Arabidopsis thaliana: one gene and its partners. The protein of the gene in region 1 interacts with the protein of each later gene in a pairwise test. Each region holds a gene or a part of one and is shown on either strand. Other genes may lie near its edges.

Region 1 (7,165 bases):
ATTACAAATTCATACAAGTCTATACATGTGTGAAGATTCATTTAGGTTGGCCTTGAATATATGTGCTTTATGTTGTCCATTGTAGGCAATTCTGATTTCCGGGATGGTGGTAGCAGTCAACGCATGGTGCATTGAGTCTAGAGGACCGTTATTTGTATCGGTATTTAGCCCTGTAGGACTTGTGATCGTAGCTCTTGTTGGATCATTTTTGCTAGATGAAACACTTCATTTGGGGAGGTACAAACTCATGTATATTGTATTGTTTTGTGGAAATGGATTTGATATACGTATGTATATATAATATGGTTTATTTTTACTTGAAAACATTACAGCATAATTGGTACAGTGATTATCGTTGGAGCATTATACATTGTGCTATGGGCTAAAAACAAGGAAATGAAGAGTATGCTTACGACATCGGATCATAATGAAACAAATAAGACTAGCAAAGATATCACAGTCAACAATCTCCCAACATTAAGTACAAATGTCCCTTGATCAACCATCATTTATATATGTTGAACGACTTGTTGTTAGTATATTTGATTAAGTGAATATTAACATTATTATTCTATCTAACGATGATTTATTGAACCATCTATGTAAGTTATTATGTGCATATGACCTTTGTACTACCACATCCACAACTTCATAAGATGTTGCATGGATTTTTTTTAACGAGCAATAATAAATTGTAAAATCTTATTTGGGTCTAATTAATTTCACTTCTGAGTCATACAATATGTACATGAACTAGTAAGTTGGAATGGGCCCATAATGGGCCGCTCAAATAACTCTCCTCCAAACCTAAAACCCTTTATCGTAATTGATTCTCCAAGCATCCTTTTGAATCTCTGATTCCTACAAGACAAATCACTAAAAGATTCGCAAGTTGACATAGCAGAGACCATACGACACCAACCTAAACACAGAAAAGAATAACTCATTCACTCGTATAGGCTTTGTCTTGCCTCTTCTTGAAAACATGTACACGTATTTAATTATAAATGCATATATAAAGATCCTACCGACGAAAAAATAAAAAGATTGAAAACATGACATCTGCTTATCGTCCAAGAGTTATTGTGAATGGAACAAGAAGAACAAGAACGTTCCATTACTTCTATTGTCGCCATTGTAGCCGTACCATTAGGCTAAGAAGCTTTGGTCTATATGGTCCCATATGTCCTTTCTGTTCTAGAGAGATCAATCTTCACGATGAGCTTGACATTATGAGGCCAAGCCGACCTTATTGGGATAGTGATACCGATTGGATCACTCTCCATCTTATCAACGAACCAAGAAGTAACCGGTTCAATCATGATGATCTAGTTTATAATACTGACGAGGAATTCGCTGATGTCATGCCTAGTGTACAAATCGGTCCACCACCAGCCTCGCAATCCGCCATCGAGGCTGTAAGGACGGTGATAATCACGGATGAAGATTTGGTGAAAGAGAAGGTTTGTGCGATATGCAAGGAGGAATTTGAAGTTGGAGAGGAAGGAAAAGAATTGAAATGCTTGCATTTGTACCATTCAAGCTGCATTGTGTCTTGGTTGAACATTCACAACACTTGTCCCATTTGTCGTTTTGAGGTTAACTTAGGTGTTTCCGAGAGTAACGTAGACGAAGGAGGGTCTTACAACATCGACAATGATCGATCAAATCGGTTTCGGACTCGGGTTTGTTCTTTGTGGCCTCTCCGAATGATGATTGATTGGGTACATAATCTCATAGGTAAGATTCCACCTCCCGATATAGCTTTCATGGCTTTTCTATTATGCTTATACGGGTTTTGACTATGATATTTAACTCTTAAAAATATATACAATTTCGCAGATATAAGAATAACAAACTCTTGACAAAAAAAAATTAAAGAATTGCAAACAAGAATGTATGAAACTAGGAATATTATTGACTACATATTAAGTGTATTATGACTTATGAGAGAGAGGAGAAGAAACACACATCAATAAGAAACGACAAAAAAAAACTACATAAAGAGACAAAGAGGGTGATCATGAAAGGCTAGAAGCGTGTTTATTTCATGAAACAAAACTTTGGCATTAACAAGACTATATTTGCATTAATTATCTTTTATTCATTTGTAAGTTGTAACAACATGTAAATAAAAAATCTTGGTAATAAGGTTAGTCCTCTACTCTACTAGCTAGGGTTCCATGATCTCTCATAGTCTCTGAAAACGCTTTGTCTCCCTTTCTTTGTTTCTTTCTCTCTCGTGATCATCGAACACAATTTACTTAGGTATGGTTTGAATAGCCTCACCAACCCTTTTTATTTGCCGGTTATCTTATTTTTGGCCTGATTTTGTAAAGCCGAGTTTGTGCCTTCTCGGTTTGGTTTACTATAACCTTCATGTAGAGCTTCCCATGGACTTCTCTACTAAAGACTTAGGATGAGTCTTGTTGTACCATCTTTTATTGTCATGCATTCAAAAATACCAACAAAATTCTACTAAAGTACAACAGATCTCAAATGACAAATACGCAATCAACTATGATGGTCACCCAACCCAATTAAACCAATCTGAAAAAAAAGTGTGATAACCAATGAAAACTCGGCCCACTAAACAGGCCCAACAAACAAATAATAAACCCAAGAGGTGCTTCTTAATCGCCGATGCCTCTCTTCATCAAAATTCAAAATCACTTTTGTCTTTTCAAAAATCACAGCAAAATAATATTCAAATTCAAAATCTGTCCAAATTCATCTAGGGTTTCTGATAAAACAGACGAAGAAGATCCAAATTCGCTAACAATGGTGAGAATTTTATGAATTCCCAATACCCCAATTTTTAAAACCCTAATTTTGTCTGTTGTGGGATTGTGTTGATGCCTGAGTTTTTCTGAATTTGTATTACTGATTGATGATCAGGGAGGTGAAGGAGAAGATCTAGAGCCACTTTTTGATTATCGTCGTGTTCAGCCAGCGAATTTCGTTTGTATCGATGGTGAGTTTCGATTATTTGATTTGGTCACTGAGCTCGACACTCGACAGTGATAAAGATGAATCCTTTATTATCGCTTGAATTTTTGTAGATGATGATGATGATGCCTCGGTGACGCCAATTCCGAAGAAAGCGAAAACTTCACAAACAGTAAGAATTGATTTTTATTGATTGGTTGTTGTCTCATTGAGCTCTTTGTGTTAACTTGATAGATACTTTTGGTATTGTGGGCTTGTAAAGAGTTTTGAATCAATGTCAGTGAAGGAACAATTCGATTATGTACTTCACAATTCATAGGTTGAATCTATCATCATTCCTTTTGGAACTTGAATCTTTTTATATAGGTTGAGAAGTTAGATGATGATGTGAAAGTGATTGAAGTTACGGGTGATGACGATTGGTTGCTTCCTCCACCAAAGGTTATCTTCGACAAAAGTAAAGACTCTGTTGAAGATTCAACTATTAAAGCATTGAGGTAACTTTTGTATGTCTTTGAGTATTTCTCATCTCTAAGCTTCCCATGTTGCTGTTAGAGGCTATGGTAGTGTTATTTGCTATCCGGAAAGAGTCCCAGTGTTACAATTTGATTATAAATGAAATATGTAACGTAGGTCGAAGAAGATGGAGCTCATGTCATTTACAAAAACTGTAGGAGATGTGATGCAGGAAGTTGAGGAGTCTGCTAAAAGGGAAGTTGAAGAATCTCGCAATCCATCTTCAGAGACTGCTGCTCAGTTACCATCAGAGCCTACGAATGACAGGGCCAAGATTGTTATTACAATACAGGACAAAGATGGACAGAAGACACTCCGGGTGTTTGCGGTAAGTTTTTTCACTGCTTGCCACTTACTATCCAACCTTCCATCGACAATAAGCTTACTATCCAAACTTTTTCTAGCTAGATACTAGATATTTAGTAGAGATAAGAATTAGTTGTTATGTCACCTTCGCTACTATCTAGATAGCTAGATATTTCGAGCTTTCTAGGAAAGCAAGAGTATAAATACAGGGATTAAAGAAATCATTGAATGGGGTCGAGTATTTGAGACGTGTATTAGTTGATGGATCTTTAAACTATTCTTTGAGTTCATCTAATAAACTAGAGAACGAGTTCATGTTCTTATCAATGTATCATCACCACATAGCATTTACACACAGAATACATATTGCTTGCTCTCTGTCATACAATGAGCCGCTCATTAATAGATATGCATATTCTGTTAAAGCTTGTAAAATATGAGAATGTTGATTTGGTATTTACCATTTTCTTGTAGGACGAGAAATTTGAGAGGGTTATCAAACTGTATACAGATAAAGCTAAGCTTGACCCGCAAAATCTTGTATTTATTTTTGACGGTGATAAGATTGATCCATCAACCACTCCTTCTGAACTTGGCATGGAGGATCATGATATGATTGAAGTGCACACCAAAAAAACTTGACAAATAGGTAACTTATGAAGTCCTCCACATCTTTCTTCTTGCTCTTATTGTGATATGATGATAACTCATTATCTTCGATTGAATTCAAGTCAGGCGCTAATCGGAATCTGGAATGTCAAATCTGTTCCATCTTTTGCGAAAAACCAGAGTTTTGTACATCAACATGGGCATGGGAAGGGATCTCTCTGCTAACATCTGGTGTTTGTATCTGTGACCTTTCTCATTTTATCGGAATTTTGTTTCTTTCTTTCTTTCACTCTTTCTGTCACTCTTTATTAGGCGTGTATAATATATAAGGTAAACCAAACCATTTTGATTTTAACTAATCCTATTGAATCCAATCTAAAAATCTAACTAAACTTTTGTTTGGTTTTAATCGTTATGCTTTCTCTATCTCTTGAGAAACATAAATATATATCTCACTAATCTAAGACAAAACTAAAACTATTGTATGTATAATCAGTATTGCTTTTTACTAACTGACAAAAACTGGAATCAATGGTAAATCGGTTAAATTCGGTTTAGTGTACTTTTTCCTTTGTTTCTTAGTAAATGTCGTTTTACACTGATATTTTTTATATTCAAATATAGTCTCATGACTCTAATATTTCTTGTTTTGTAACATTAGCTTTTAATATAATCTTGATAGAAAAGAAAACATCACATTAGTCATTAATAAAATTCTTAAAAATGTAAAATTATAAGAATTAACACATTCAAGTACTATTTATGTGTTTTAGTTCATGTGAAAAATAATAAAACCAATTAACGAACTAACCAAGTCGGATAATTGTAGTTTTTGTTTGGTCCGGAGTTAGCTACGACATGTGGCATACAATAATTGGTTAGGAAAAGCTAAGCTTTAAGAGTTAGAGATGATGGGTCGTGAAAGAAGAAGCTGTCACAGTGGCACATACGTCCGTGGCTTCCCCATATCTCACGTGCATACGGATAACGTAATCACCATTTTTTCTAAGTCCCCACCCAAATATCTACGTGGCTTTGCCACGTCATCCTAACCAAACCGACGGATTTGTTCAGATAATATGAAAAAGCTCCTAAAAACAGACAGAAGAAGCTTTTGTCACCAATCTCTGATCTTTTTAGTTCTCTTATCGGTAAAAACTTATTCTTCTCTTTTTGTTCGATCTGTGATCTCTAATAAACTAATTTGATATTTTTTTTGATGTAACAGGGAGGAATCTTTTATATGTTATGTATAATAATAATTGAGAATATGGAAAGAGTATGTGAGTTTTGTAAAGCGTATAGAGCAGTGGTTTATTGTATAGCTGATACAGCAAATCTTTGTTTAACATGTGATGCAAAGGTTCATTCAGCTAATTCACTCTCGGGACGGCATTTACGTACGGTTTTATGTGATTCTTGTAAGAATCAGCCTTGTGTTGTTCGATGTTTTGACCATAAAATGTTTCTTTGCCATGGATGTAATGATAAGTTTCATGGTGGTGGCTCTTCTGAGCATCGTAGAAGGGATTTGAGGTGTTATACGGGTTGTCCTCCTGCTAAAGATTTCGCGGTTATGTGGGGTTTTCGAGTTATGGATGACGATGATGATGTTTCGTTAGAGCAATCTTTTCGAATGGTTAAACCTAAGGTTTGATGCTTGTTTTGTATACATATTTACAGTTTCTTATAACCGGTGTAAGATCTCGGGTCGAAAGTAGACTAATACACCCGAGGCTTGTAGAAAGCCGTCTACAATGGCCAAAAGAGAACCACAACGATCTGTGGCCTTAAACCATAGGGCGAGTCTTTCACCTACTTGAACAAACCACTGGACCATACGCTCTTTAGTTTTTTTTTGTATATCTTTTTATAGCTTTGTAGATGAATAGATCTCTTTATAGCTGATGTACCGATGATTTTGATGGTTTCAGGTGCAAAGAGAAGGTGGTTTTATCTTGGAACAGATTCTTGAATTGGAGAAGGTTCAGCTCAGGGAAGAGAATGGTAGTTCTTCCTTGACAGAACGAGGTGATCCATCTCCATTGGAGCTTCCTAAGAAACCCGAAGAACAGTTAATCGATCTTCCGCAGACCGGAAAAGAGCTGGTTGTTGATTTTTCACACTTGTCCTCATCTTCCACACTTGGTGATTCCTTTTGGGAATGCAAAAGTCCATACAATAAGAACAATCAGGTTTGGTTTAAATATCACACAGTACATAGTCTTAGTGGGAACCATTAGTTACATGAGATTAGCTCTGTTTCTGCAGTTGTGGCATCAAAATATACAAGACATTGGAGTATGTGAAGATACAATCTGCAGTGACGATGACTTCCAAATACCTGACATTGATCTCACTTTCCGGAACTTTGAAGAGCAATTTGGAGCTGATCCTGAGCCAATTGCAGATAGTAACAACGTGTTCTTTGTTTCTTCCCTTGACAAATCACATGAGGTTTGAAATCTTTCATCCACTACTATAGAGTCTAGTTCAGTAACCACTATATATGTTTTATTGTTATATAACCTAAGATCTCTCTACCTTTGATGTGTGTTCAGATGAAGACATTTTCTTCTTCATTCAATAATCCCATATTTGCACCTAAACCAGCTTCATCAACTATCTCATTCTCAAGCAGTGAAACCGATAACCCTTATAGTCACTCAGAGGAAGTAATCTCATTTTGTCCCTCCCTCTCTAACAATACACGTCAAAAGGTCATCACAAGGCTCAAGGAGAAGAAGAGAGCAAGAGTGTAAGTCTTAAACACCGATGATCCTAA
Region 2 (9,796 bases), about 17 Mb from region 1:
ACGCCTATACGTATAATGGTAACAATACAAAATTTTGTGAATAATGATTAAATAAAGTTATTACAACTATATCTGCAGCTCCAACCACAAAATTACATATCGATCACCATTGAAAATATAAATTTTGAATGATGTGAAATCTACCAACCAAGCGTTAGGGAGTTTCCCAGAAAGAGTTTTAAGTAAATATCAAAATCAAAGGTCAAAAGGCTAGCTTTCACATGAGTTTCGTGTGAGCTTGACCAAATTAAAGTTTTTGATGAAAAGTTTGATTAAGTCCGTCTTTTGTGGGAATTGTAATATGTTTTCTCACTTAACAAGTTTTGTTATTACTCTATCGTTTAATTAATGGTTTAGGTTTACAAAAGCGACATTTTCTGCAATTTCTGTCACGTAGTTAGATCATAACAATTAAGCATGAGTTTAACCAAAAAGTATGTAAATCTTACGACTAACTTTCAAATTCCTTGTTGACAATAGAAAAAAAAAATTTCCAACATATATATTTTGGTAACTGAATGCTAGAGATATCTACGTAACATACAGTTGAGAAGATCTATTTACACATGTAGTTAAGCATTTTCACATTCAAATTTCTATTTCATTTGCATGGAAAGAACATTTACTGCCAATAAACAACAAGTATAATTCTGATCATGTCATATTATTTCACTACAGCAGGAAAAAAATCCCACACTAACAATGGTGATAGACGGCGGTATAACTAATATCTCATTAATATTTTTGTCGACATCGATGAGGAAATATACATCTTTTAATTCGTCATTAACTTGTTACTATATTTTGGTACTAATTGTTTGGTATTCCATCATTATTTAATTTGTACCAAAAGAAATATACGTTACTTGTGAAAGATTGGGTGATTTATTAAAAAAAATCAAAATCAATTCAATTGTAAATACGAATGTGAGTGTTGGAAATGTAAGTGAATGAGCTACATTTTCATAGATGTTAATGTTACGAAAGACTTGTCTTGAATTCATATCGACAATGAAATCTTGAAGTTTTAAGAAAAATTGTATAACTTATCTCAAAAAAAAATATTTGCCAACAATATGGATATATGCATAATCGTGAAAGTGATAACAAATTAAGAGTACAAGCTAAGACCACTAGTTGAAATCTAGAGATGATAGATGGGGGTGGGTACGTACTATTGGGAGTGGGAGTTTGTCTTCCATCGATTCGAGGTTTTTTGTTACTTAAAAGTCGACTTAATTACTTCATCTATGATTCACTAGAATCAGTTTTGAGTCACTATATAGGTTTTGTTTTGCTTATTGTGTGTTATGAATGTGATAGACCGAAGTAGTGCGGGTAGTGGTAGTGGTAGTTCGTTAAGATGAGTTTGGTGTTTTTGGACATATCAACAGAACATGCTAACTCTCTCACTAGCTAGCTTTTTCATATGCATAGCTTTTTCGAGAAAACAAAATATATTGCACGATTATATAATCAAATTCTTTTTTTTCTCACGTTCATATATTATGTATATGAATATGATTTATACGACCACTCAATTAGTCACATGTTATTGATACTTGACAGAACTCATTATGTCTGAATTTGGATTTGAAATATACTGATAGGTCAATGATACAAATATTTGATACTAAAACTCAAAAGAGAAAGAAATCGAGTATAAGAAAGATATACTTACACGAAATAAAGGATAGTGTGGTTTAAGTGGAGTAGAAAGTTGAATGAAGCTTCGTTCTAGATATGGAAGGTCCGGTGGGAGAATTAGGGTTGTGTACGACTCTAACCAAATCTTTGGGTTTCCTTGTTCCAATTCTCTATATTCGTTTCGAAAGCAACACATACATATATTGAATCTTCCATTTATTCTCTTTCGTTTTCAAGTTCGACGTCTCTCCCACTTTTCAAAAGAGAAGTAATAAAAAATGGCTTTCGTCCATATATTATGGTATCATGCATTGAAAACCATGCAACATCAAACCAAAACACGAGAGGGTGCATTTTCATGAGTACCCATTTGAAGTAATTAGACAACTCTGAGATTTGTCAATGGATGGTCGTAGCATGCTTTGAGGTATCAATGAACTTAGATGTTAAGAGAGTATACTCGCCAAAATACGGAAACAAGAGAGAACAAAACTGAGAAAGCCAAATCCGTACAAGTATAAGCCTCACAACAACTCAAGAAATCAGTCTTGGTTGTTCAGAATTCTGATGAGAAATACAAATTCTCCCTGAGACTAATTATTCTTATAATGTAACTTGGATAGTATAAGAAGAAAACATCATATAGACGAAAAGGTGAATGGTTTGAGTCGTTGAGCTTGACCCTTCTTATGTTATGACGGTGGGGGCTGATCGGCCTGTGAACTCTTCCATCTTCGACAGCTTTAGAGCTAAGTCAACCTGTGAATCACACATCAACAATTACGTATTTGATTAGAGAAAACCCCTTTGGTATTAGCTAAATGGTAATGAGTCGGAAAACAGTTTATGGATTTGAGGTTTTATAGTAAGCAACTGACCAGAGGAGACAAAGCTTCCTGGGATTCTCGGCCGGTTTTTGAAGCATCCTTTTCGTACTGTTCGATGTAAAGCCGGATGGTTGCTCCTTCTGAGCCAGTTCCAGAGAGACGGAAAACCTTCATATGGTTTCAGATATAACAAGAGAGGATTAGTTAGTTTTGATTTCTATCACTTTGTTCTTAGCTGGAATGTATCCAAGCTCAAATACCGAAGAAAAAGATGACTTACAAGTCGTGATCCGTCTTCAAACAAGTAACGGATTCCCTGGTGCTTCGAAATGGATCCATCAACTGGATCTTTGTACTCGAATTCATCAGCACTGGCGACGCTTGCCACGTCCGAACGAATTCCTTTCACAATCCTGAATAAAATCAAGAGAGAAGAAGAGGTTAGAAAAACAGAGTACCAAACTGATGAGTACGTGTTCAAGTATAAAAGGAAGGGATTTCAGAGAAGTGGAAGTGTGTGTACTTGTTAACTTCAGGAATTGAAGATTGCAATTTGACCAAATGCTCCATCAGTTCCTTAGCTTTACCTGCGTCTACATTCTTTAGAGACAAATTTTGAGATGTCAGTAAGGGTACTGTTTCTTCCATATAATATGGTATAATTACAATCACCAAACTTAGCAACTTTTACCTCATAGTCGTAACGAGTGTAATAGTGACGACCGTAGGTAGCCCAATGCTGGCGGACAATGTCTTCAACTGACACCAGTTTAGCGTTACCGTCAATATTTCCCTTGTTCTTGTGAGCAAGTATAGACATCCATGCAAGAACTGCCCATATTCCGTCTTTCTCACGGATATGATCCGAGCCTGTGAAAGATCTTTCTTTCAGAACTGTATAGGTTGTTTTAAAGTTATGAACAGATGTGTGAGTGTGGAAATAGAAACTGACCAGTTCCAAAACTTTCTTCTCCACAAACAGAACACATCCCAGCATCCATCAGATTACCAAAAAACTTCCAGCCTGTTGGAACCTGATATGTGATTTAATAGAGATATGAAATTAAATTATGTAGTTAGGAGAAAAGAAGCTGGATAGAAGTTGCACGGTGACATGTACCTCAAAGAACTTCAAATTCAAGCTTTTTGCAACGACATCAAGAGCAGCTGAGGTTGGCATGCTCCTAAAACAAGAAGTGGAAGTTACAAAATAATCCACAAAAAAGATATATTAAAAGAGTTGTATACACAGAATTCTACTAGAAGTAAAAAAAGAGCCCAGGTGTATAATACCTTGCAACACCTTTCAAACCAGAGCTGAAGTACGGGATGGCACCAATAGCATTTGCAGCAATTATGGCAACTGAATCCGAAGGAGTTACAAAGAACCTACAAATGAAGAGATACTTTAAGTTTAAAAGTACTTGGTATACTAGTTCCATGGATGTATCTCTCTTGAAAACGTCAGTAAGCTACCTTTTACCAAGGATCATGTTACGGTCTGCATCACCATCAGCAGCGGCGCCAAACTCTGGAGGTTCACCTCCAGTGTCGGATTTACCTAATCCCATTCGTGCCACAAGCTCCTTAGCATAGGTCAAATTGGGATCCGGATGCCCTCCTCCAAAGTCCTCCTGCAAATCGTTGTATTGTGGTAAATATTGAGCCTGGAGGTGTATTTGTAATCATTTATGGAATAGCGTTTCTTGGTTAGACAAAAATAAGACCTTGGGAGTGCAGTTCAATAATGCGCTTTCTTGCGCACCGAGTTCTTCGACAAAGATGCGATGTGCATAGGCTCCAGCAACTCCATGCAATGCATCATAGCTTCATAAAACAAAGTAAAATATAACATTACAGTGATGGAACATATATTACAAAACTTAACTCAAATGGAAAAGGTTTGGGAACCAATGTTAGTTACATACCAGAATGTAAACTTTGGAGATGATAGCAATTTCCGGATGGCTTCAAAATCGAAGATTGACCTTGAAGGAGCGAGAATTTTTCTTTAGAAAGATCATAAAAATTGCACATAGACCATAGAGGGAGCAGATTCCAGAATCATGCTTTTAAATTGAGGGACCACTCACTTCATTAATTTAACGTAGTCATCTGCGGGATCAAAAACTTCAACATCAAATTTTCCTTCAGGTCCTTCAAAACTGGTTACACCAACAGCAGAAATATCAACCTGTCGCATTCATCAGATAGACCAGATCAACTATGATTCAACAAAAGACAGATGATGGAAATCTATAAGAGGATTCTTAAGAATACATTGGGTAGATCTTGTGCTATTGGGTACTCCTTGATTGTCTTAGTGTTCTCGTAAATTTTATCAGTGATTGATTCAGGAGCAGGTCCTCCATTTTCCATATTGTATTTGATTCCAAAATCCTGTACAAGGGGTATGGAATCACCTCTTAGTCTTATTATCCATCTAGATATCTTATTATTAAAAAAAGAACAAATAAAGAGATACAAAACGAATAGTTCAAATGAAAGGATAGCACAGTAGAGATGGAACAAGAACAGAACGGACCTCAGTAGGGCCACCAGGATTGTGGCTTGCTGTTAAGATAAATGCTCCAGTTGCTTTCGATCCCTGTAATCGGAGACTGGGGTTAAGTAACTCAAAACCATCATTACATTTTGCGTCATGCACAAACATAGCAAATAACCAAAAAAAACAAAAAACAAAATGTCACTACAACCATGAGCATAGAGAAAGAAATCTCACATCAGCCCCTGATCTTTCACGAATCACAGCTGATACAGCAGGAGTTGATAACAGAGTGTTTTTACCAACCCACACACGTCGTACACCATTAGCTGCTGCCATCTTAATTATGATCTGTTAAGATACAAAATAAAATTGTATGAAAAGCAGTAAAACATCTTCATCTGTAACAGTATGAACCGGATTTGTAATAGGAGTAGATCAAACAAACTTAAGTTTCAGAGATTTCAAAGTCAAACAAAACTTTAACTTCTATAAACCTCTAATCTCTCTATAGAGGTTTCGATGCAAATTTTAGAGATGAACACAAAGAAAAATAAGCAAGGCATTGATGATAATAGCAGGCCTTCCTAACACAGGAGTTCCCTCCAAAACATTGTAAATACATGAGCACTAATTCATAATTCTATGGATACGCCAATTACATTCACACAGATCCAGAAGACAGGGAATATCATCGGCCTTACCTGAACAGCATCCTTTGAGTAATAACGACCATCACCAGAGACCACAAGTGTGGCACCTGCACATATGAACAATAAACACTCATGAATTTTTCGAATGAGCAGATATCTCTGAGAAGCTAAGATGAGTATGAAAAAAATCTCACCTTTAACTTTCTCCGCCGTAAGAGCATTGAATGTTGCTTGGACAAAATTCTCTAGATAATTGGGTTGCTTGAACACTTTCACCTACACAGTTAGAAAAAAAAAAAAAAATACTAATCAGAGATACAAAAAGATGCTAGTTTGATATCTGCAGAGAGTAGAACAAACAATCGACACTCGATTGATTGGATAAAATGATCAACCCAAATTTCTTTTATCAAAATATCTGAAACAGATCTGATCAGTGAGTCTCAATAAACGTCATTGCAGATCGTATATACGTTAAACGAAGATCTGACAATAACAACTAGGCTCTTCCCTAGTTTCAATTATACACAAATTCAATCCATATAGTCTCCATTTCGCTACACCAACTCAAAAAACGTAATTTCAAGCTCTATCAAATCAACATTCACCACATAGAAGCGTCCCAAACATATACTCAAATCAAATATAATAAACGTGATCTCGAACTTGATCCAAATAAAATAACGAAAACGAAATTTAAAATTTGTCATCATTCACTAATCAATATAGATTAATGCATAGATCAAATCTAATCAGATGGTCAATCTCACTTCAAAATCACACTCAAGAAAATCTAAACAGATCTGATCCAGATGCAACAATTCGATTTCGTTTGATTCAGAAGACAAGGATCGATCAACGAACCTTCTTACGAAGACCAGAAGTTCCTGGTTTCTGGCCATCAATAGGAGATGTGGATACGGTAGAAACCTTGAAAACCATATTCGCTTTGAGAAGAACAAAGATCAAAATTTGGACGCAGAGAGAGTGATGATGATAAAAGCAAGCAGCTCTTAAATAAATTACGCAAAAGAGAAGCTTGCTTAAAAGCTAAACGATCCCAAGACACGTGTAACCAAGTGAGTGAACTAGAACGTTTCTCTCGTTTTCACTGACACAGTAAGAAAATCTCAGCCGTTGGATTGTATTTTCAGATTTTAAATTCATTTTTGCTTGCGTAACATTTCAAAGATTAAATATTTGATTGATCATGTGTAATCTCTAGAATATGGTAATAGTAATATACGTGCTACGTAATCCGATTATCTTAATGTAATTAACTTTTCGTATATTCGTCTCACATGACAAATCATACATTATATTATTCTAATTGATTCCAAAATTTTACATGACAATAATCTGTAAAAATGTCTTAAACGGGTAAATTTCTGAGTAACCGAAGAGCTTTCTCCCATTGTGGTCGTTGAGACATAACGATACGTCTCAATACTGGTACAGCTCCTGCTCTTATGATGGCTGTGTGGTTCTCACTGTCCATGGTTAAGTTGTACAATACTGACAAACTCGCTTCAACGCACCGCTCGTTCCTTTCTTCAAGAAGCTTAACCAGCGGTTCGATACCTCCTTGTGAAGCAAGTGTTTGGATAGATTCTGGAACTCCCTCGGAGACTATCTTGTTCAGTTCTAAAACCGCTGCTTCTTTCGTTTCTGGTGATGAGGAAAAGCTCATTTGTTCCACGAGGCTCGGGATCGTTTTGTACAGAGTTACCTCAAGATTGATCGGATTGTTGAGGGATTGAGAGGGAGAGGAGAGAGCGGTGAGTTTGACAAGACAAGCGGCAACCCAGTCTTTGTAGTGTAGAGGGAGGCTTGATCTTAGGATCTTCCTTACTAATTCTATGAAGACCGCGGTATCTATTGTTTGGCGAAAGGACTCGGAGTCAAGAAGTTTTGTCAGTAGCCTTGAAGCAGCGGAAATCGTCAAACCAGCTTCTTCTAGCTTAAGCAGATGTTTCTCTAACTCCTCAGCTTCATTCTCAGGTTCTGCATTTCCATAAAAAGTATTGTATGCTGTTATAAAATTCAAACAGAGTTATATCAAAAGATAAGTTTTGTACCTTCCAGGACTTTCTGCCGGAGAGCAAGATCAAGAACAGTTGTGATATCCTTGGAGATGATCGTGTCCATGTTTGGATTACTGATTATACCAAACTCGATGACAGAGATTGCGTTTCTTAGCAGGTTCGGAGAGGCTGTTTTCGCAATCTGGACGAGCCGAGAAAAAACAGCAGCGTCCAGAACTTCCTTTCTGTTCATTCCCATCCGATGTTTTGAGTAATTAATACTTCTAAAAAAACAAAAAGAATGAATGAGCTGAAGATAGGAAGATCGAGAAGAAGACTGACCTGGAGTCTGCTTTTGATCCGTTCACCGGTCCTTCATAAAACTGTAGCATGTAGAGAAATAGCATAAGCCAAATGAAAGCAGATTTAATGTATAATAATCAACCTTGGAAAATAAACACACCTTGGATTCCATTTCCTTGCTAGGATCTAAGATATGAGCAATTATATCCAGAACCTGCATAACATAGTTCACAAAATACCATTTCACGTCCAGTTATTCCATAATAGCCTAGACAAAGATATCAAAGAACAAAGGAAGAAGAAAATGAAGTCATACGTGTTCTGTAACGTTTAGTGAGATCTCTGGCTGCTTCAGAAGATTAATAAGAAACCATACTGCACCTTCAGCTTCAATCCTCTGGCAAACAGTGCGGCTGCATTACAAGTATAAATAATCTCAACCTCTGAGGAGAAACTGCTTAGTAAAAATGTAAAGAATGCTCAAAGATAAACACCTAAGTGATAAATTTTTCAAGGCACGGATGACGGGTAATTTAACAGTCTCTTTGTTGTTGTTGGCTAAAAGCTGAACCAAAGGCTTTACAGCTCCGGCTTCCATGAAAGAAACCCGCATATCCTCGTTGATAGATGCATCAGCAATTGACTCTGCAGCTCTTGTAGCTGCCAATTCATCTGCCAATCCAAGAATCAAGACTAATCGAGCCACACCATCTACACAAGGAAGAAGGGTAAGCTGCTGAGATTTCCCTGGCCCTTCGGACTTAATTTCCTTCTCAAATTCAATTGCTCCAATACGGGCAAGGAACTGCTGATTTGTCCTCCCAACTATTGCTTTCATTTTGGCTTCATCTACGTCGTCAACATTCTTGTCAACATTTAAACCAAGGAGCAGCTCAGAGGCACCAAATCTTGAAGGAGCTTTTGCTGTCTGCTCAATATTTATACCATCTGGTAAACTAGGCCAAGAATACAAATCCGGTCTGAAGGACTTATAAGCGTCTGCACCAATTATGGGAATGGGTACAACTCCCTCCTCAATGACGAGAATTCTGTAGTATTCGTCTTTGGCTAGCTCCAAAAGCACATTTCTTGCTTCTTTTCTAATAACTTTAGACCCTTTGTTTTCTGTATTATCGGCTTTCAACAATTTTGCCTGGATTCCAATTGGGAAGGTAATAAGCAAGCTGAAGCATGACCAACAATTCTACGGTTTTCCATATATAATATCATTGTCCTAAAGCCTAAGTGATTCTCAGCCAATTTCACATCCTTTCAGTAATTTCAATTCTCACCCTTGACTATTAGCAATCATTTCAATCTAACATATCTAATATATTGTTAAATTCTATAAGGTGAAAAGCAAGGTCTTACCAGTTTTGGTATGACTCCTACTTCAACCAGAATCTTGTGAGTCGAGCGGCTAAGGGCTAGATTGGCCAAGACGCCACCAGCTGCTTCCTTTACGTTTACATCATCATCTTCAAGGAAACTAATGAGTAGCCTAAGGATATCAAAGTCAGCAACCTTCTCCCTAATTTCTTCATCCACAGTCAGATTCCACAGAGCACATATGCATTGTTCTTTCACCTGAAAAAAACAAAACATCGAATAATCATACATCACAATTCAAATCCAACAAGCAAAAGTATACTACTTTGGAATCATAATCCTTCATACCACTGTAGCTAGCGAAGGTCGGCTCAGTAGAGCGGTTATCTCTTCCAACGCTCCACTCTCAGCAACGGATTCTCTGTACAGATTCACAGAAGCTATAGACCGTATAAGCCCAGCAGCAGCTTCACAGGCGGAGCTGGACTCAGACTTGAGAAGATTGAC
Region 3 (7,375 bases), on another chromosome or scaffold:
TTTGGTTTTCTCTAAATATTTGCTAAATATAGTAACATATTGACTTGACTATGAACAAAAGTAATTGTTGGTCATTGTCCATGGATGATTATCCCCTGCTCTACATCGTCAGTCAAATTGTCCACTCTTTCACCCACCAGATACCTTTCATTGAAGACCAATTGGTGAAGGTACATAATAACATCACGTGTTAGCTTGGCCATAAAACAGACTGTGATCAAAGCTAATAGCGCCGGCCAAATACACCTTTCAATAGCTGAATTGGTGCTTTGGGAGAATCCAAGCAACGGGAATAAAACCTTTCAACAGCTGAATTGGTGCTAGTACTACATTTCTCTAAGAATAACTTTAGAGCAAAAAACGCATACTAATAAAAAATCAAAGGGAAGAAAATTTGAGGAAAAGGTGATGGTTTAAGGTAACAGATTTCTAGCTATACTTAGATTTTAGAGTTAATTGAAGAATACAAAGGTTTTAAAGACAACATACGTTAGTGTTAATTGACGTGTTGACCTATTTTCTCGCAAAACTTCACAATTACCATGTTTAAAGATGATGACTAATTACAACTTGAAAGTTTAATCGCCATTTACGTTCCACCGATCTCCGTAAACTCTTTTCTTCATTTGGTCACTTTTATCTAATCAGAATTCCATTTTTTTCTCAATCAAAGGGGAAAAAAATGGAGTTCAACAAAACCTATCGGATCATCGTGATCTTCACGGTTTCTATTTTGGTCACCATCTCTACGCATGTAGAATCCAGATCAGATTCTCCATTTTCGACACCAGCTCCGGCACCGGAAGTTATGAAACCTATCGCTAGTCCTGCAAATTCTCCGGCGGAGATATATACAGACTCTCCCGTTGCGTCTCCAGAAGCTCCAGCAGATTCATTTTCCCCAAAAAATCCTCCGGTCGAGATAGATATATACTCTCCCGCAGCGTCACCAGAGGCTCCTGTCGCATCACCAGAAGCTCCTGCGGAGTCTTCCTCTGCTGCACCATCTGGAATCAAAGTTTCGAGTTCTCCCAAAAGCCTTTTGAACCCGCCATTGTTATCTCCGGAGATCAAAACCATTTGCGGCAAAACCGATAACCCTCCGTTATGCGAATCTTCCGTTAGTCCTCTCTTAACGCCTCAACTGAAACCAAACACTTCCTCCGTCCTCATTCTCGCTATTCAAGCTTCGATCACCGCGACCAAGGCGGCCATGGCCATCGTCGAAAAAGTCGACGCCTCCGATTGTCAGGAGTTATATGATGATGCAGTTGTGAATTTGGAAGATGCAGTTAACGCCGTCAAGTCAAGTGACATTGCCACCGTTAACACAAACTTGAGCGCAGCGATGACAGATTACAGCACGTGTAACGACGGTTTTGAAGAATCGGGAGAGCCTAACCCGTTGGCTTACGTGGCCGATAAGCTTACGAAGATGGTTAGTAACTGTCTCGCCATCTCTACGTTGATCAAGTGAAATACGACAGCGTTTTGAATCGTGAGGATATAAAAGTGTTTTTGTTTTCTTTAAATTTGGGTCTTGGCTGGGTTTGAACATGGTACTACATCGTTTTCGAATATCCAAAGTTCCAAGTAAAGAACGTGAGAGCTCTACTTAGGCTTACGGTGTAAGTCTGTAACGTTATCATGTATCTCATTGTTGTGTGGTCATATGTGGATGTTATATTCTCGTGAAACAAAGTGATATATATACATATATATATATATATATAAATATATACAAAAATGTATATGTAGAGATAACGACTCGTTTTTGAATCTGGTAAAAGTGAATCGATTGTACAAATGTTAGGTTACTTCTTGAATATGAATTAACAATGTGCACCAATTTATTTGAAAAATATCAGTTATGTTAACAATGTGCACCAATTTATTTGAAAAAAAATCTCAAAAGACTGTTCATTTCCTAATGTTGTTGGTGCACATTATTTTTTTTGCTAAATTGTAAATATCATATATAAAAGATTTCTCTCCCGGATTTTCAATTGGCTCTTTGTTTTTTGTTTTTATTTTGCCAAAAAAATACAAATGTTCTAGATTATCAAACTTTGTAAAACTGATTTTTCATATATATGATATTTACAATTTAGCAAAAAAACAATTTGCACCAACAATGTTCGGGGAGTGAATAGTCTTTTGAGACTTTTTATAATATGTAATTTAGGCTAATTGGACTCTACACTATATTTACCAATTGGGTTATCAGTATAGTGAGATAATGAAGAGAATTTGAGTGAAAAAATAATAATAAATGAAAGACATTTAGTATGATATTTATTTTCAGTCAAGAGATATTTTAAATCAAAAAAAAAAAAAAAACGTTTTCGTTCTATCTCACATCTCTCTCACTTCTCTTTCTTTATTATTTAAACACTACCTTTACCCATTGGATAAAACATCTCATGCAAATTTATAAACATGTGTTTCTTAAATAAAATTAAAGTGTGAATATAGATAAATATTTTTTTTAATCATGAGTTTCTTAAATTTATAAAAACTTAGCTTAATTATCTCTTAATTAGCTTAATTTTCCTTAAATATTTTATTTTTAATCAAAGTCAATTATATAGGTCTGAACCGACTAGAAAGTAGAAACTGAATAATTTACCTGAACCGAAGTCTAATAGAAATCGGTAGAAATCACATATTTGGTTTGGTTTAGCTCATGTTTTACGAGCCTTGAAATAATTGGGCCTTAATATTTTAAGGGCCCAACCCAAACGCTGAATCGTCGCTCGTCTTAGTCAACAACCCCGACAAAGAAACGATGAGCGTTTCGCCGGAGATATTTAAACGGGACGGCATGGAAGTGAAGACCCGAAAAAAAAAAGGCAAAAAAGAAAAAAAAAAGGGAAGAGAGAAAATCAGAAAAATGGAGGAGATAAAGATTTTGGGACATCTCTTCCACATTTACCCTTCACTTAAAGCCAATCCTCTCTCGAGAGACTTCTTCTTCTTCTTCTTCTTCTTCTTCTTCTTCTTCTTCTTCTTCTTCTTCTTCTCAACTCCATTATCTAATTCTAGGGTTTTTCTCTCCTTCTTCTTCGCACTTCTCTTTCTCTCTCCCGCCGCTTGTTTCTTCTTTCCCTCGAAACACTGGTGTTACTGTGAGATTCTCGTTTGAATTTAGGGGATTTCTTAACGAATTCACTGAGAAGCACTAATTGCGAAGGTGTTGTTAGAGGTGGGTTTAGTGTATGCTTATTCGTTCTTTAGGTTTAGATATCATTCTACTTGAGTAGATGCTTGATGGTTTTGGCTTCTCTGGTTTCATTAGTTTTGTGTCAATTTTGAGAATGCTATGTCTAATTCAATTTTGAGAATGCTATGACTAATTCAATTTGAGAAAGTGCATGTAGTTCAATTTTAAACTATCTTTCTCTCTGGGGAAAACAGATTCTGAGGCTTAGTTATGTTCATAAATTGCTTTGAGTAAACATTTTTCATGCAGTTGTTATAGTTCAGTTACTTGTGTATATTGACCTTGTTTACTGTGGTCAGGTATTTTGCTGCATCTACGCTTGTCCTGATAATGGAGGACTCTGGAGGTTCTGCTTCTACTTTAGCTGGCTTTACGGGTAGGAGAAGGAGAAGCGCTCTGCCTCGTCGACCCCGCGATATTAAAGGGAGCTTGCATAGTTTCAAGTTTCTGCCACCCTCAACGCAGACAAACACTGCTCTTAGCAATGAAGCTAACCCAAGTTTTAGGAATACCAATAGTTTATGTGGGTCTGTGAGTGAGAACAAACTGAAAGTGAAGCTTAAGCTTGGTGCTGGTGTTACCCGTACGTTGCAAACCAACTCTGAGGCGGGTACTTATACCAAAGCTTTGGTAAAGGTCTTATCTGTTAAAAGCTTTGAGTTTGTCCTTCATTATACTTATTGTTAGCTTTCTTTCTTTGCTGATATACGAGAGTAATGCAGGATAATGGACAAAAACCATTTCAAAGTAAGGTAAAAGGCAATGGTCATGTTCAGAAAACACTGTTTCTAGGAGATATACATCAATCTAGAGGATATCCGTCTAAGACTGAGAATGGTGCGTCCATGTCCGAGAAGAGCAAACGAGGTCTTAAGAAACGTGTATTGGATCCAGAGCCAGACAGTGATGATGGAGATGAGGAAATCAGATACCTCGTAAAGTTAAAGTCTAAAAGGGTCGGGGTCTCTCATGAAGGTAAAGAGAGTGAAGGAGGCAGAAGGATACACAGCAGTGGTCATGACATGGAAGACGGAAAACATCTCTCATCAGACAAACTTGCTGTGTCCGGAAGGAAAAAGCCGGTGATGGGAATGGTTGATCCGCTCCCGGCAGGAGAAACAAGCGGACAAATTCCTACTACACGTACTCGGGCTCTCCAATCTGGAAAGGATCCACATTCTGTCATCAGGTCGAGTTCTCTTGAGTTCCCTGATGGCTTACCTTGCCCCTCATCTAAAAGTGAGTTGCACCTTTTTCCCTTTCTCAAATCAAACTGATGACTGCAAATACTTAATCTCTAAACCTTGAACAATTCCAGGACCAAAACAGAAGCTTTCTGAGGTAGAGCAACAATCCAAGAAGGCCGAAGCTGCACAGAGACGGCGAATGCAGTGTGAGAAGGCTGCCCAAGAAGCCGAGGTAAAGTTGATACATTTTTTCTGGTTAATATATAATGCCAATACAAGCCGAATGACGATCTAAGAGCTTCTTCTTTGTCTTGTTCACCAGGCTGAAGCTATCAGGAAAATACTCGGACAAGATTCTGGTAGAAAGAAAAGAGAGGAGAAGATAAAAAAACAACAGGAAGAACGAGCTCAGGTACCTTTGATTACAGATGAAATTTTATTAACTCCTCCTCTCTGTTTGTTCTGATTTCATCTTTCCTCTTCTCAGGAGAGAGCTGCAAGATCAAGCACACTCGCATCAAACACTATCAGATTGGTTATTGGTCCAAGTGGAACAACTATGACATTTTCTGAAGACATTGGTCTTCCAGATATCTTCAAGCCAGTCACGTACAGGTATGCTAACATCTGAGGATATATTTATAGAATCATATTTATATATGTGGAATTGTGAGATTTGAAGTGTGTGTTTTGATGGATCTGTGTGCTTCAGTTATCCTCCTCCGCGAGAGAAATGTGTGGGACCAAATTGCGAGAAAGCGTACAAGTACAGGGATTCAAAGTCGAAGCTGCCATTATGTAGTCTCGGATGTTACAACGCCATTCAAGAGAAGATGGAACAAGCACTGATTCATTGCTAATTGCTCAACTTATTTAACACATAATTGTTGCTTAACTCTTGTCCAATTGACCTTTACATTTCAGTTTACTTGATATCCATATCCAACAGGACGATCAAAATCAAAGTCAATACGAGTTTTGTTGCTAGACAATCAGATTCTTTTCAACAATATATAAATAAAACAAAAAGATGAATATTTGTGGCTGCTGGGATTCGAGCCCAGGTCTCCACGGCCACAACGTGGAATTCTTACCACTAAACTACAGCCACTTTTGTTGGCAGTATTCGAAGAATCAAATACATAAACAGTTTAAATTATTTTAATAGAGCAACAATTGTTTAGGTCTTTTTTGACGTCAGACGTTGTAAAATAGCGGAAATGAATATGGCTTTTGGGGAAAGGAAATGGCGAAGAAGAGACACTCCCAAGCATGTCAAAATAAAATGACAAAAAAATATGGAACGCACCATGCGTTACGCATGTATTAAAGTCAAAGAAGACGACAAGCTGTGTTTTTTTTTCTTTAGCTGGTTGAGTATTAGGACATAGATGAGTTAGATCACGCCTGTTAAGAATGTTGGAAGTGGGTGACTCAAGTATGGTAGTTGACTAGTTGTGTTAGATTATTTAATTAAGAACTTGTAACCAAAAGAACCTTTTCCTGATAGAAAACCAAATCCAAAACTGAATACAAAAATATCAAAACCTTATATCTCATGTGTAACAGCTAACTGTTTTAAAAGAAAAATATAACACACTTTGGCTGCTGTACCACCTAACACACAGCGAAGAGAGATGCATTTCCAGAAAAAGAAAGATTTAAAATAAGGAAACCATTAGGAACTTGAATTAAGAAGAGTTAGTTGCTGATAGACCATGTCTTACAATATGCAATTGACCAGACCAGAGACTGCTAAGTTTTTTCAAAGATGAATATTATAAAAAAAAACGGCTGCAAACACTACGGACGAAGAACCCGTTACCTCCTCTCAAATGGCGCTCACTATACATTTCTTCCTCCGTTTGGTTGCCCAAAGCTTTTCTTTTGCGGTTTATCATGTCTCAGTCTGCACTCTGAAGGTTTTATTTGCACCCATGAGAGTGCCTTCCATCCCCAGCCACAACTAAAGAGTCCAGAGTGTTAAAATCTCAGGATCCATTTACAGCCATTTCAGGTGATGATTTTGGAGCTACTACCAGAGATTCTTCCCCATTTAGCTTTCCATTGTCTGATGTTTCATGTTCAGAACTCGATACTCCATCATCCTTATGATTCTCATCATCTGAACTGCTGCTATTATTCTCTTCACTACTTTTTGAATCCTCAGCTCCTTTCGCTACTATTGACCGGGCTGCTGATCCAGCGGGGCCTGGACTTTTCTTACCCGTAAGCACTGCATGGCTCAGTGTCGAACATAGCACAGCAAATACATTTTCCCTTTTCGAACTTTTCCCCAGCCGTGGTTTCTTGGACGGCTCTTGTTCTCTTTCTACAAGAGCGGATTTTCGTTTCAGCCTCAGGAGCTCGCCTTCCTCATCCTCAGAGGCTTCTGGCTGTTTCCGCGGAGGAGGTTTATAGTCTTCATCATCTTCATCGTCCTCATAATCAACCAAGCCTCCAGACCTCGGACTATAGAAGCAATAAATCCATTAAAACATAGATGTTGCATTATATACATTTCACAAACTACTATACCTTGAAGAAGTAGGGCTTGCAGCCACTCCATTGGAGAGATGAGGCTTAGGTTGTTCTTTCTGTATATTAGAAGCAGGTTTTTCCTTTTGTGTATTAGAAGCAGAGGCTGAATCTTCTTCATCGCTGTCAGTATTTAAAAAAGTGAGAAAAGGTGAAGAGTAAAGAAAATACAATAAAAATCATTGTTTTAACACCCAGTGGTAAACCTGTCTTCATTGAAATAATCTTCTTCCTCTTTCTCCAATGCCCGCTCGTCAACTCTTCTTCTTGGATCAACCGCATCAGAAGTGCTTTTTGGTCCGGCACTTTCTAAACACTGTGGACACATTGTTACAAAAAGATACAGACAGAATTTTCCTAAGTATAATTCAAGACCCAGAAACAGTACCTGTTCATACTTAACCTTGAAAGCCTGGATGGAGGTCAA

Evidence for each region. Proteins that work in one complex are often made in the same cells at the same time.
Region 2: the proteins of AT1G68185 (region 1) and PGM3 interact in a two-hybrid assay, tested with the Arabidopsis thaliana proteins (one study listed by BioGRID).
Region 3: the proteins of AT1G68185 (region 1) and AT3G06660 interact in a two-hybrid assay, tested with the Arabidopsis thaliana proteins (one study listed by BioGRID).

What each region holds. Positions count from the first base shown.
Region 1 is NC_003070.9:25,553,761-25,560,925, forward strand, and holds AT1G68185 (Ubiquitin-like superfamily protein), read left to right. Parts: upstream 1-2,622; 5' UTR 2,623-2,643; coding exon 2,644-2,784; intron 2,785-2,898; coding exon 2,899-2,974; intron 2,975-3,062; coding exon 3,063-3,121; intron 3,122-3,315; coding exon 3,316-3,446; intron 3,447-3,582; coding exon 3,583-3,793; intron 3,794-4,245; coding exon 4,246-4,413; 3' UTR 4,414-4,420; exon of another isoform or gene 4,421-4,506; 3' UTR 4,507-4,773; downstream 4,774-7,165. Other genes in the region: UMAMIT23 (nodulin MtN21 /EamA-like transporter family protein), read left to right, coding at 86-237, 333-498; AT1G68180 (RING/U-box superfamily protein), read left to right, coding at 1,056-1,740, 1,843-1,865; BBX27 (B-box zinc finger family protein), read left to right, coding at 5,460-5,531, 5,609-6,031, 6,315-6,575, 6,652-6,837, 6,942-7,138.
Region 2 is NC_003070.9:8,216,725-8,226,520, reverse strand, and holds PGM3 (Phosphoglucomutase/phosphomannomutase family protein), read right to left. Parts: upstream 6,714-9,796; 5' UTR 6,576-6,713; coding exon 6,498-6,575; intron 5,910-6,497; coding exon 5,828-5,909; intron 5,741-5,827; coding exon 5,685-5,740; intron 5,332-5,684; coding exon 5,218-5,331; intron 5,083-5,217; coding exon 5,020-5,082; intron 4,875-5,019; coding exon 4,755-4,874; intron 4,669-4,754; coding exon 4,568-4,668; intron 4,463-4,567; coding exon 4,403-4,462; intron 4,302-4,402; coding exon 4,202-4,301; intron 4,109-4,201; coding exon 3,951-4,108; intron 3,864-3,950; coding exon 3,768-3,863; intron 3,659-3,767; coding exon 3,595-3,658; intron 3,509-3,594; coding exon 3,427-3,508; intron 3,345-3,426; coding exon 3,166-3,344; intron 3,075-3,165; coding exon 2,998-3,074; intron 2,888-2,997; coding exon 2,755-2,887; intron 2,643-2,754; coding exon 2,526-2,642; intron 2,407-2,525; coding exon 2,335-2,406; 3' UTR 1,974-2,334; downstream 1-1,973. Other genes in the region: AT1G23180 (ARM repeat superfamily protein), read right to left, coding at 7,006-7,637, 7,712-7,902, 8,000-8,040, 8,121-8,174, 8,277-8,373, 8,455-9,113, 9,332-9,547, 9,638-9,796. UniProt on the Arabidopsis thaliana protein: Catalyzes the reversible isomerization of alpha-D-glucose 1-phosphate to alpha-D-glucose 6-phosphate. The mechanism proceeds via the intermediate compound alpha-D-glucose 1,6-bisphosphate.
Region 3 is NC_003074.8:2,099,507-2,106,881, forward strand, and holds AT3G06660 (PAPA-1-like family protein / zinc finger (HIT type) family protein), read left to right. Parts: upstream 1-2,809; 5' UTR 2,810-3,205; intron 3,206-3,522; 5' UTR 3,523-3,553; coding exon 3,554-3,853; intron 3,854-3,945; coding exon 3,946-4,462; intron 4,463-4,541; coding exon 4,542-4,642; intron 4,643-4,732; coding exon 4,733-4,822; intron 4,823-4,897; coding exon 4,898-5,025; intron 5,026-5,122; coding exon 5,123-5,270; 3' UTR 5,271-5,402; downstream 5,403-7,375. Other genes in the region: AT3G36659 (Plant invertase/pectin methylesterase inhibitor superfamily protein), read left to right, coding at 683-1,477; AT3G06670 (binding protein), read right to left, coding at 6,402-6,882, 6,949-7,071, 7,155-7,264, 7,337-7,375.